Arabidopsis thaliana: one gene and its partner. The protein of the gene in region 1 binds, or shares a complex with, the protein of each later gene. Each region holds a gene or a part of one and is shown on either strand. Other genes may lie near its edges.

The links.
Region 2: NRPD1B (region 1) and NRPE5 share a complex: the UniProt entries of both Arabidopsis thaliana proteins name them as parts of the RNA polymerase V complex.

The regions. Positions count from the first base shown.
Region 1 is NC_003071.7:16,712,508-16,717,688, reverse strand, and holds the start of NRPD1B (nuclear RNA polymerase D1B), read right to left. Parts: upstream 3,230-5,181; 5' UTR 2,965-3,229; intron 2,610-2,964; 5' UTR 2,601-2,609; coding exon 2,520-2,600; intron 2,264-2,519; coding exon 2,137-2,263; intron 2,046-2,136; coding exon 1,930-2,045; intron 1,834-1,929; coding exon 1,786-1,833; intron 1,453-1,785; coding exon 1,288-1,452; intron 1,122-1,287; coding exon 963-1,121; intron 879-962; coding exon 1-878. Other genes in the region: AT2G40020 (Nucleolar histone methyltransferase-related protein), read right to left, coding at 4,836-5,092, 5,180-5,181. UniProt on the Arabidopsis thaliana protein: DNA-dependent RNA polymerase catalyzes the transcription of DNA into RNA using the four ribonucleoside triphosphates as substrates.
Region 2 is NC_003074.8:21,123,779-21,128,633, reverse strand, and holds NRPE5 (Eukaryotic rpb5 RNA polymerase subunit family protein), read right to left. Parts: upstream 2,798-4,855; 5' UTR 2,757-2,797; coding exon 2,505-2,756; intron 1,753-2,504; coding exon 1,576-1,752; intron 1,484-1,575; coding exon 1,370-1,483; intron 1,290-1,369; coding exon 1,164-1,289; 3' UTR 559-1,163; downstream 1-558. Other genes in the region: BIGYIN (Tetratricopeptide repeat (TPR)-like superfamily protein), read right to left, coding at 1-7; AT3G57072 (uncharacterized protein), read left to right, coding at 2,798-2,935; AT3G57070 (Glutaredoxin family protein), read right to left, coding at 3,207-4,460. UniProt on the Arabidopsis thaliana protein: DNA-dependent RNA polymerase catalyzes the transcription of DNA into RNA using the four ribonucleoside triphosphates as substrates.

The DNA of each region.
Region 1 (5,181 bases):
GGCAGGGACAGAGAGCCATACATAGCTAACTGTTGAGCAGTTGCCTTGTCCAGAAATACCCGCTCCAGCATTACCCTCAAAGACAGTAAAGAATCACTACCCATCTGCAAAATCAGCTGTCCAGTATGTGAGCTAAGCAGTTGCTTCTCCACAGAGAAGAGCTCCATAACCTCTGCCTTAGCACTAAGAGACTGAGGGTAGAACAAATGGACACAATCACCATCAAAATCAGCACTGAGGGGGCTACACATCAGAGGGTTAATCTTCACGGTGTTGTCTTCATGAACATACACCCGAAGCGCTTGAAGAGAATGTTTATGTGTTGTCGGGGGTCTGTTGATAAACACAACATCCCCATCCATGACCCTGCGATGAACAACCTGCCCGGGTTTAAGCTCAGTGTGCCCCTTGGATCCATCCCTTAAAGAATAGGTCGTAGAACCTTGAGTATAACTCAAACACAACTTGTCGTCTACCAACTTTTGTAGATAACCTCTATTGTGGACACTAACCCTTTCCTCAAATGTGATTCTCTGCGCAATTTCTATTGGGATCCCTACCTCATTCACATGTCGGTAAGCATCTCCAGTGATGACGCTACGGGAAGAGAAACCTGAACCCTTACGGATGAAAAGTGTTCTCATTTTTTCTGTCCAAGCTTTTGAAGATGAACTATCCGAGATCTTAGACACCCCGTATCTCATATCAATGTTTCTTGCCGCTTTTGCAGTACCCCTCACCTGGAGATAGGTATCCACCACTCTAAACATCTCACTGGCTTCAGCCTTATGCGACTCAAAGTTTGTCTCGCCAGACCTAGAGCTTTTTATGGCTATGACTTTCTTCAGAACGTCCTTTAGCTCAATTCTGGAAGGATCCTGAAAATAAGAATGACACAAATCCAGGGGTTACAACACAAGCCAAAGCATTCAACTCAACATAGTAATTTAGTTTCAACTTACCACTGACATGGTGCTGAAACCATCAGAAGCCTCTGGCACTGACAAACAGTTAGGCGGGACAGGAAGATACTCTAGTATGTATCCTTCTTGAGGAATATGTCCCTTTGCCGTGAGTTTCTTTCTTGATTCTTCGGGGATCCGTCTTAGAATTTCCTTAACCTATTTGTTTTCCCACCATATGGAAAAGGACACGGAAAGTACATAATCATCAGTTTCCAGAAAGAAAAGATCTTAAAGATAGAGAATGATTCCAAATGAACAAAAAGAACGTCACCATAAAATCCTACATAAACAGAAACATAAACACACAGAAGAAAGTAAAAACCTCTCTTGCCAGCAGGGGACGCGTGTAATCGCTTCCATAGCGATAACCATATCTTTCCAGGAAATTCCAGCAACCAGGCTGCAGTCTTGACCTAGATGGGAGCTTCAGTTCTAGATATGAGGCACCATCTGATGCTCTATCTTTGATTGAGATTTGCGAAGCTTCCTAATAAAGTAATATAGTAGTTAAAAATCCAAGACGTTCAGCAATAATAACATCCAAAATAACATAAAGCAGTGAATGTTTCATGATGCCACGAAAATACCAATAGCTACTGCTTCACAAGCATTGATTAATGTTACTTTCACTGAATGGATCAAAAGAAGCACAAATACTATTTAGATTTGAATTAGCAAGTTTTCTAACATGCAACTAGTTGAAGGAAAACTTAGAAAAACTAACTAAATGCTGAACCAGGTTCACATAAGAAACATCTATCAACTTGCTTTCAGGTAAAACTTAAAAGGAAACAATCAGAATGTATATGCCATTACTCACCTCACAACAGACACCCAACAAGCGATCCGCCAGACCACCACTTGTGCCCTGTACTCAGAAAGGTGAAAAAGATTAGTCGAGATTTTATATGGTTTATTTATGTGTGGATCACATGGAATTTAAGAAAACTCAATGAGGTAATACCTTTGCCTTCTTTATCTTCAGACATTTCAAGCACAGAAGGCTCAGCATTTGTTTCAACTCATTAACATGAGCAGGATGGTATATTGGCACTGGAAGCTGAATATAACCAAAATGACCTGAAAATGTAGAAACAAATACCGATATCTGAAGAAGTATTCCAACAAATGATGTAAGAACAAAAATATAGCAACTACGGAACTGGATTACCTTCACATTTATCTGGTTCTGTCGCACCGCAAGATTCACATTTACCAAATTCAAGAGGTAACCCCAAGAATGCGTTAGTGAGTTGACTGGGATGATTAATTGCGGATTCACTAATCGATTGAATACACTGCAAGAAAGAATTACAGTCCAGTGAGAAATGGAATAGTGACAGAGGATATATCGCAGAACAACATTTATATGCAAAAGTGTAGCACTTAGCATCACACAGAGCTTGAGTACAATTATAGTGAATTTAGTGCCAAAGATAACCAAAACATAGAGGTTTTAGCTATTCGAAATCCTTCAGTTATGTAAAACCCATGATAAACATTGATGCAGAACAAGATGGATCAATTCCAGAGAGTATAACTCTTATAACTTACTATTTCATGGTGACTAGCAAGAGCAAATGTGATTCCAACAATCTCTCCGTCAAGAATCTCTGATGTAGATTCTTCCTCCATGAAAAAACCCTAACGAGCGAAAATCACACACCAGCGAGACCGAGTTAGCTCTTATCAGATGTAAACAAACAGAGAAACAAAGACATTTGAGCTCACTAACTTGATACAAAGAAAAATCAAGTCTTTGAAGAACAAGTTCTCAAATCTGTAAAAGATACAATTTTTATACTCGTTTACACAAAATCGAAGCTGTAGTAACACACAGTGAACCAAAAAATCCGAACTTTCAAACCTAGAGTAACCTACATTTGAAACCCATTTCGGAGAAACCCCCCCCCCCCCAAAAAAAAACACGGCGGAGTCATGATCGAGCTCTTTTCCCGGAAAAACATCTAAAGATAAGAGTTGGGTAAGACGAAAATACCTAAGAATTCGATGATTCAGCTGCGTATTTGACCCGTTTTGGTTCCTCAACCGGAGAAGAAACGAAACAGCGGGAAACAAGGGTTTTTGCAGGTGAGAAGAGGGAAGAAATCTGAGTGAGAGTGAAAATGGCGGACTTTTTCTTAAAAGAGGAAACCGAGAAAGAAGATTGCGAGAGAACAATTTTGGAGTGACTCTACTTTTCTCTCTCAAAAATCTTTTGTTCTTCTTCACTCTTCAGCTTCCGTCTTTAAAACCCACATTGCATGCAAAGGGAGAAATATTTTCAGTTTCGTTATTAATTAACTAAAATAAAAAGGTATCAATTTTAATTTTTCTTTATTTGTCAAACAATTGATAACACTTGGGAATATGCAATGATGATGAAAATGATTAAAACAAATATTTATCCACATATTATGCAAGACCATGTCAACAACCATTGACAAACTTTTTTTTTTTTTGAGAAGAATAAAGGATTTCAAAACCATAGAATTAGCAGTGAAGCAAAACATATAAATACTTCAAGTAAACTATTTTTTGGATTCGATTTTGGTGTTGTATATTTGATCGATCGCCATAGATGACCGTTTCCGTTTGTAGTACGCTATGTTTGATGCGATAAAAATCTAGCGGGAACGATGTTTTATAAAATAATGGTTATACCAAAAAAACGGTAAGAACTAAGTGGATCGACTTGTAAAAAAAAATTTGAGATATTTTTTGTATTCATGAATTTGTAAATAGTTCATACCAAAAAAATGAATATGTAAACAGTTGACCAATCAATTAAAGACAAAAAAACAGCTCTTTTGTCTTCAAAAATTATATATAAAATGTTAAAGTATTTTTTCATTTTATTTTGTTATATATTTGATCGATCACCATAAATGAACTTTTCAATTATATATTGATGCGATATGAATATGAAAGGAACAATGTTTTCAAGAGATAAACTTCGTTTTTATCCGAAAGAACGGTAACCAATGCTCATATCAATTTATAATGAAAACATGGAGAAGGTTAACAATAACTCTTTTTCTTCATTTATATAATTTTGTTTACACATAAATGAAGAACATGAGTATAAATTTAGGAAAATATTTTGTAAATAAAAAGTAAAGGGTAACTCCAAAATGAAGTGACAGATGATATCATACCATATTCATCACTCCCTTTTAGAGTTGAGAATATAGTGGTATTAAAAGGATTTTTTCTAAATTAGTATTTAGAGTGAAATTTGGAATATAATTGGAGATGCACTTATTGGCTCATGGATTTAAAAAGGGAACAAAATTGCATCAATTTCTTTCTATTCAGGAGGAATTAAGTGGAAAAAAATTTCATTCCATTTATTGTAAAAGTTAGCAAAAGTTGTAACCAAACGAAATACAATATGCTTCCTCTCTCAAACTTTTCCGCTGATGTGTAAAATACAAGTCAAGCTATACTTGCATTTAAGTTTATATGTACAAAAAAAAGTTTATATGTACAAATCAAAAATCAAAAGAATATGAAGTACCGGTTGATATTGGTTCTTGCATTTAGAAGGTATAATTGCAATTAAACCGACTTTCAGATTTGGTCTAACTTTTAGACTGGCTATTCAATTTACTTTAGAGGGATTTGGTTTCCACTTTCGACATTGATCTTTGGATAAGTGGGTTCGGGTACTATTGTATGACTCATACAACTACTGATAAAGACTATCTGCTTTCTCTACTCCATCACAAATTATTAAAAACCAATATCTCAAGAGATGTTAAGATGGGTCGTTTTACCTTTTTTCACCACAATACTATAGCTTACTACTACTATTTGGCTTCCTAACATATATATCAATTTGCTACTTACAGGAGCTCCATAGCTCCTTTACTTGTCCCACCTCATCTCTTTCTTCCTCCTCTTCTGTCCACGTACTTCCCTGAGAAGCTCTTGAAGTTCTTCACAAAGAGGTTCTGGAGTAAGCTGAATGATCTCATCATCATCACCATCACTATCCTCCTCTGGCTCCGTCTCCTTCTCCTTTGGATCCTCTGGCTCGGTCTCCTTCTCCTCTGGATCCGTTTCCTCCTCAGGATCCGTCTCCTCCTCATCAATTAGCCATCCACAATGAAGATTCTCCACACCTAATCAATTATTTTGACCGCAGTAAAAGAATGTTTCATTTCTTATGTTGAGATTGGTATGGATATGAGTAAAAAAGCTTTTATTACCT
Region 2 (4,855 bases), on another chromosome or scaffold:
CATCCATTGAAGGCGATTTTGAGCTTTGATTGATGAGGTTTTCGTTTCTGGTCTCTTTCTTAATTCTTAAGGAGAGTTTCTTAAGGAGAGAAGTTGGACTTGTTGCCCAAGCTCAGGGAAACAGACGATATTTATCCCTTGAATTTATCAACAAGACCCCTGTATTGTTAAGACTTACCCACATTGATCACCATATCTTCTGTTTTGTTATTAACAACCCTTTGGAATAAAAAACTTCTGTGACATGTGATGGTGTATTACTGATTTTTTCCAATAAATTTACAAGATTCATAACAACTAGATAAGAAAAGGAAAAAAACTGATTTAATCTTTCACGATTAGATGTTTAACGTGGAGTTTTAACTCAATCAAGCAGTTATTACTATTGATGGTTTGTAAAAGTAATTTCTATTTTTTAAGTTATTAAAAATATCTGAAGCAACAAATTTCATATTTTAGATCATAGTACTTTTTTGTTGTCGATTTTAATTTAGGTGATGTATTTTGTTTAATTGAATAACAGTTTAACGTTAAAATACATATATATTCATGTCCATAGAAAATACAAGACTTATAAAAGCATCAAAATAATCGGAGAGATTTGCTGAAAGTTTGCCACTTCTTCAAACTCTTTGGATCAATATCACACGCCTCTTCTTTTCTTCCCCTGCCCATTTTTTTGCTACAATATCTAATTGGTTTCATCAGATTTTTTAGTATCTTATTCAGTCCTAGTCGTCGTCGGGCTTGGCTAGCCGGAGCTGCTGTATGTATCGGGGAATCATCGACGACTGCACTGTACATCAAAGAGAAGCCTGACTCAGATAAACTTCGACCAAGCAAGGCATTGTTGAGGTGAGCCTCGAAAGATAACCGCTCAAACCGATCCATCAATGAGCTTTGATTGTCCTCGAACCTCTGAAGAAATGTTGGAGTCTCCATGGCCTGTTTTTGTGTATTGATAGCGTGTAGTGACTGCTCTTTGTACGGAAAACATAAATGGTAATGTTTTCAAGAACAAGCAAAGGATCTTTTTTTTTTCCTTAACTTTTTTTCTTGTGTTCAAAGCAACGGATCTTCTAGGATTAAAAACAAAACCTTAGAAACATACAAGTTATTTTTTCCTGAAAATAAGTACACAAGATGGTTTTTAATTGGTTTCTTCACCACACACATCGGAAGGCAACATGCGATTCCGTGAGTTCGCCTCTGTAATTCACCTTCACAACTTGCCCTTTCTCTAATCCGTAGTACCGGACGATAGCATCTTTCTTTGAAATCCGAGGAAGCTGTTAAATAAATTTTGGGATGAACGGTTCAAAAAGTGAGACTATTACTTTTATTTAGCTGCAAGAAATGGATAATGGACCTGTTTTTCCTCAATGCTGAACTTCTTGAGAAGTGTTGTCTTCTCTTCATCATTCAACACCTGATGTTGTGGCTTCAGTGAATGTTTGGTTATGTTGACTAGCAGATCCGTTATCTTAACAAGACAGCAAAAAGGAAACTAGATGTTACAGATTTGAAGTACTAACCAAGAAAAATTAGATTAGGAAAATATATAGGTGTACCAACCTGGAATATCTCGACCTTGAAAGAAAAAAGTTCAATGGCTTTCAAGGCTTGATTGGTTACATGGTTTTGCAGAACCAATATCAGCCCAGTTATGGTTTCTTGGCTAAGTATATCCGCTACTACACTGCGGATTGCGTTGACTTTAACCATACTAGTACCAAAAAAGACAATTTTTACCTGAACAAGCAAAATCACAACACTTCTTGAAGCAGACCCTTTAAACCAATAACACAATGTTACTATATCCAGAGAATCACTATGAGATATCTGTCGTTATGCCATAAGACTAGAGCTGATGCAAGAAACATCATGAGTTGAAAATAGAAGACATTTATAAGTAACAAAAATCTTGTAGCAATCAATATATGAAATCGACTAGTTGAAAGCAGGTGACAAGCATGTCTATAAGCATACAAAAAGAGGTAACATGAACCAAACAACCAACAAGAAAAGGGGTAAGATTTTCAACAAATATCCAACTTAACCGTTCTTTTGCAGTTCAATCTCATTCTAGAATTAAACATGGAAACTTGTAGCTATCATCAGAACTCGCACATTTGACATTGACCATACTCTAAAGATTGAAGAGATCACTCAATGAATTGTCCGAATGTTCAATAGCCATAGGAAGAGATCTAAGAATCACTTTGCTAGTTGTTACCAGAAACATTTCACATTACAAAAATTCAGAGGACAAACAAATGAGGTATGCTACTTGATAAGGACAATAAAGTAGTAAACTTTAGTCATCTGAATCCACAAAAGTAGCAATTCAAACTTCAATTAGAAGATAAGAAATTTAAAAGAGTCACAAATTTCATATTCCATCATCTTCTTCACTGCCAAACAGTAAACCCCACAACATGCAAAGACAAAAAAACAGCTAGAAATCGAAAAATCACAACGAATACGAAAATACTTCGATATACCTTTTTGGTAGAATCGGAGCGATGCAGAGCGGAGATGCGAAGACGATCAACATCGGGACGTTCACCGTAAACAGTTCGAAAATCGTGAAGGGAGAGATTGATATCTTCGTCGGAGACTTCGTAGCCTCTGTCTCGGAGCATCTGCAAGCCATTTCGCCGCGCAAGATAGTATCTATGACTCTCTTCACTCGATAGATCCACGTATTTGCTCAGACACAGAACCGAAGCTGTCTCTTTCCCTTTCACTTCCATTTTTGTCTCCCTTATCTGAGCAAAAGTCGTCGAGTCCAGTGATGGGATTTAAAGGGAGACTAAACGTTGTCGTTTTAGGATTTAAGAACAGAAGGAAGAAAGCTAATATAGGTGAGCGAGCAGGTGACATCAATCAATCAAACTACATTTGTGGTAATGTTGCACATATTTTTCATTGATAAAAAATACCTTGCAAACAAAGCAAATCATTCGGCTATTATGCGAATTATCAATCATCATCTACCATTTGATGTACTTCATATAGTAAGAATCATTTAGTTCAAAAGGTCAAGAGCGTAAATGGAACAAAAGAACACAACTCATAAGAGTAAATAATAAAAGGCTTGAGCCAACTTACTTATTTGAATATACATTACTAACCAAATACCATGTTTAGTCAATCAATCTATATCCCCTTTCTCACACACATCTTTTGATCAAACTGATCACTTAGAGACAACACACACGACAACGCACCAATCCATTCTCATTGCATTTAGGACACCGCTTAAACCGTTCATCTTGTTCTTCAAACACTTTGGTGCTACCATCACAGTTAGTACAAGGCACAAACCTTGCATCACCACAGCTCCGGCATGTCCCCAAGCGTTCACAAGCAGGGAAATCTTTCAACATCTCTGCTAATTCACCACCATCATTTAGCTGCATAATCTCCTCCACGCCACCAATGTGAGTTCCTCTGATAAACACCTGAGGCAAACAAACCGGTTTCTCTGCGGCGCCAAGCACGCTTTGAAGCTCTTTCCTGTATTTGGAATCCATAGAGATGTCACGTTCGTCTACGGACACTTGAACTCCTCTCAATATCGCTCTAACGCAACAACAATCCTCGTATGTCTTTCGAATTCCTCTGAGGGTTGTGAAGTAGAGTACAATCTTGTCTTCTGTTCCTGGTAATCTCGGTTTGGCTGGTGATGAAATCAATTGACTAGAGGATACAGATTTTGGTTCTTCGCTTATTAAGATGGATGGATTTGATGATGGGCTACAAGAGAGAGACTTTGTGGGTCTATGAGGGTTTCTAGTATTACTATGATTGCTTAATAGCTTAGAAGACAAAGCTTTCTTGTAGGATGAGACAATGCTGGGATCTAAATCAGAGAGAAATGATTCTTCAGACAAATGCTTCCACAAAGGTTGCTTAGGTTTATAAGTCAAAGGAACCCAATCTCCATCGTCTTCTTCGATTCTCACAATCTCGTAAGATTCATCCAATTTCAACGAAGACCCATTTAAACTCACATTCCGATTCGGGTCGGGTTTAGAGCAAAAATCCGAATTTAGACGCTTACCCGGTTTGGGAATTTCGAATTCGAATTCATCGTCCAAGCCATCCATAAGCTCCCAAGTGTTTATGACTGAATCAGGAGAGACCGGATCTGGTGTGTTCTTCCCGGAGATTGAGATACGAGGCAGCGTTTGTTGGTCGGAAGAGGAGTTTTTGGATCCATCGAGATCAAGGAGGAGAAGAGAACCGTACGATGTAGATGTAAGGGAAACAAGGTGATGAGAGTCGCCTTTTCTCGCCGGAGGATGGTGAACCAACGGCGTCGGAAACGAAAAAGCTCTCTGCACCGCCGGTGAAGATGAATCGGAGCTGAATTTGGTCGGCGGTGGAGAAAACGCAGATGAGGAAGAAGCAGAAGAAACGGAAGAAGCGGTCTTTGAAGCAGAAGAACCCATTACGAAATCGAATTTAAAAACACTGACTTTAATGAATAATAGTTTTTAGTTTCTTTGCTCTTTCTGGTTTCTTCTGAGATTGTTTGGTTATCTCTGGGAATGATAGAGAACAGAGAGAGAAAAGAGAAAGGTGGAGAATAGCTGTCTAGGGCAGTTGAAGGTGGAAGATGGTGAAATTTAATGGCAGAAGAAAGAAACGATGTTGATGTTGATTTTCGGACACAACAACAGTTCTCGATTTGATTTTGATTGTGTAACCAAAGCTTATGTATAGAAGAAGAACCAAATTCCAAGAACTTTCCTTCACTGTCTATAAATTGAGCCAAACGTTTTTAAAATAATGAAGAAAAATAAAATATTAAAGAAAAATGTCATTATCTTCATAACTGCAATCT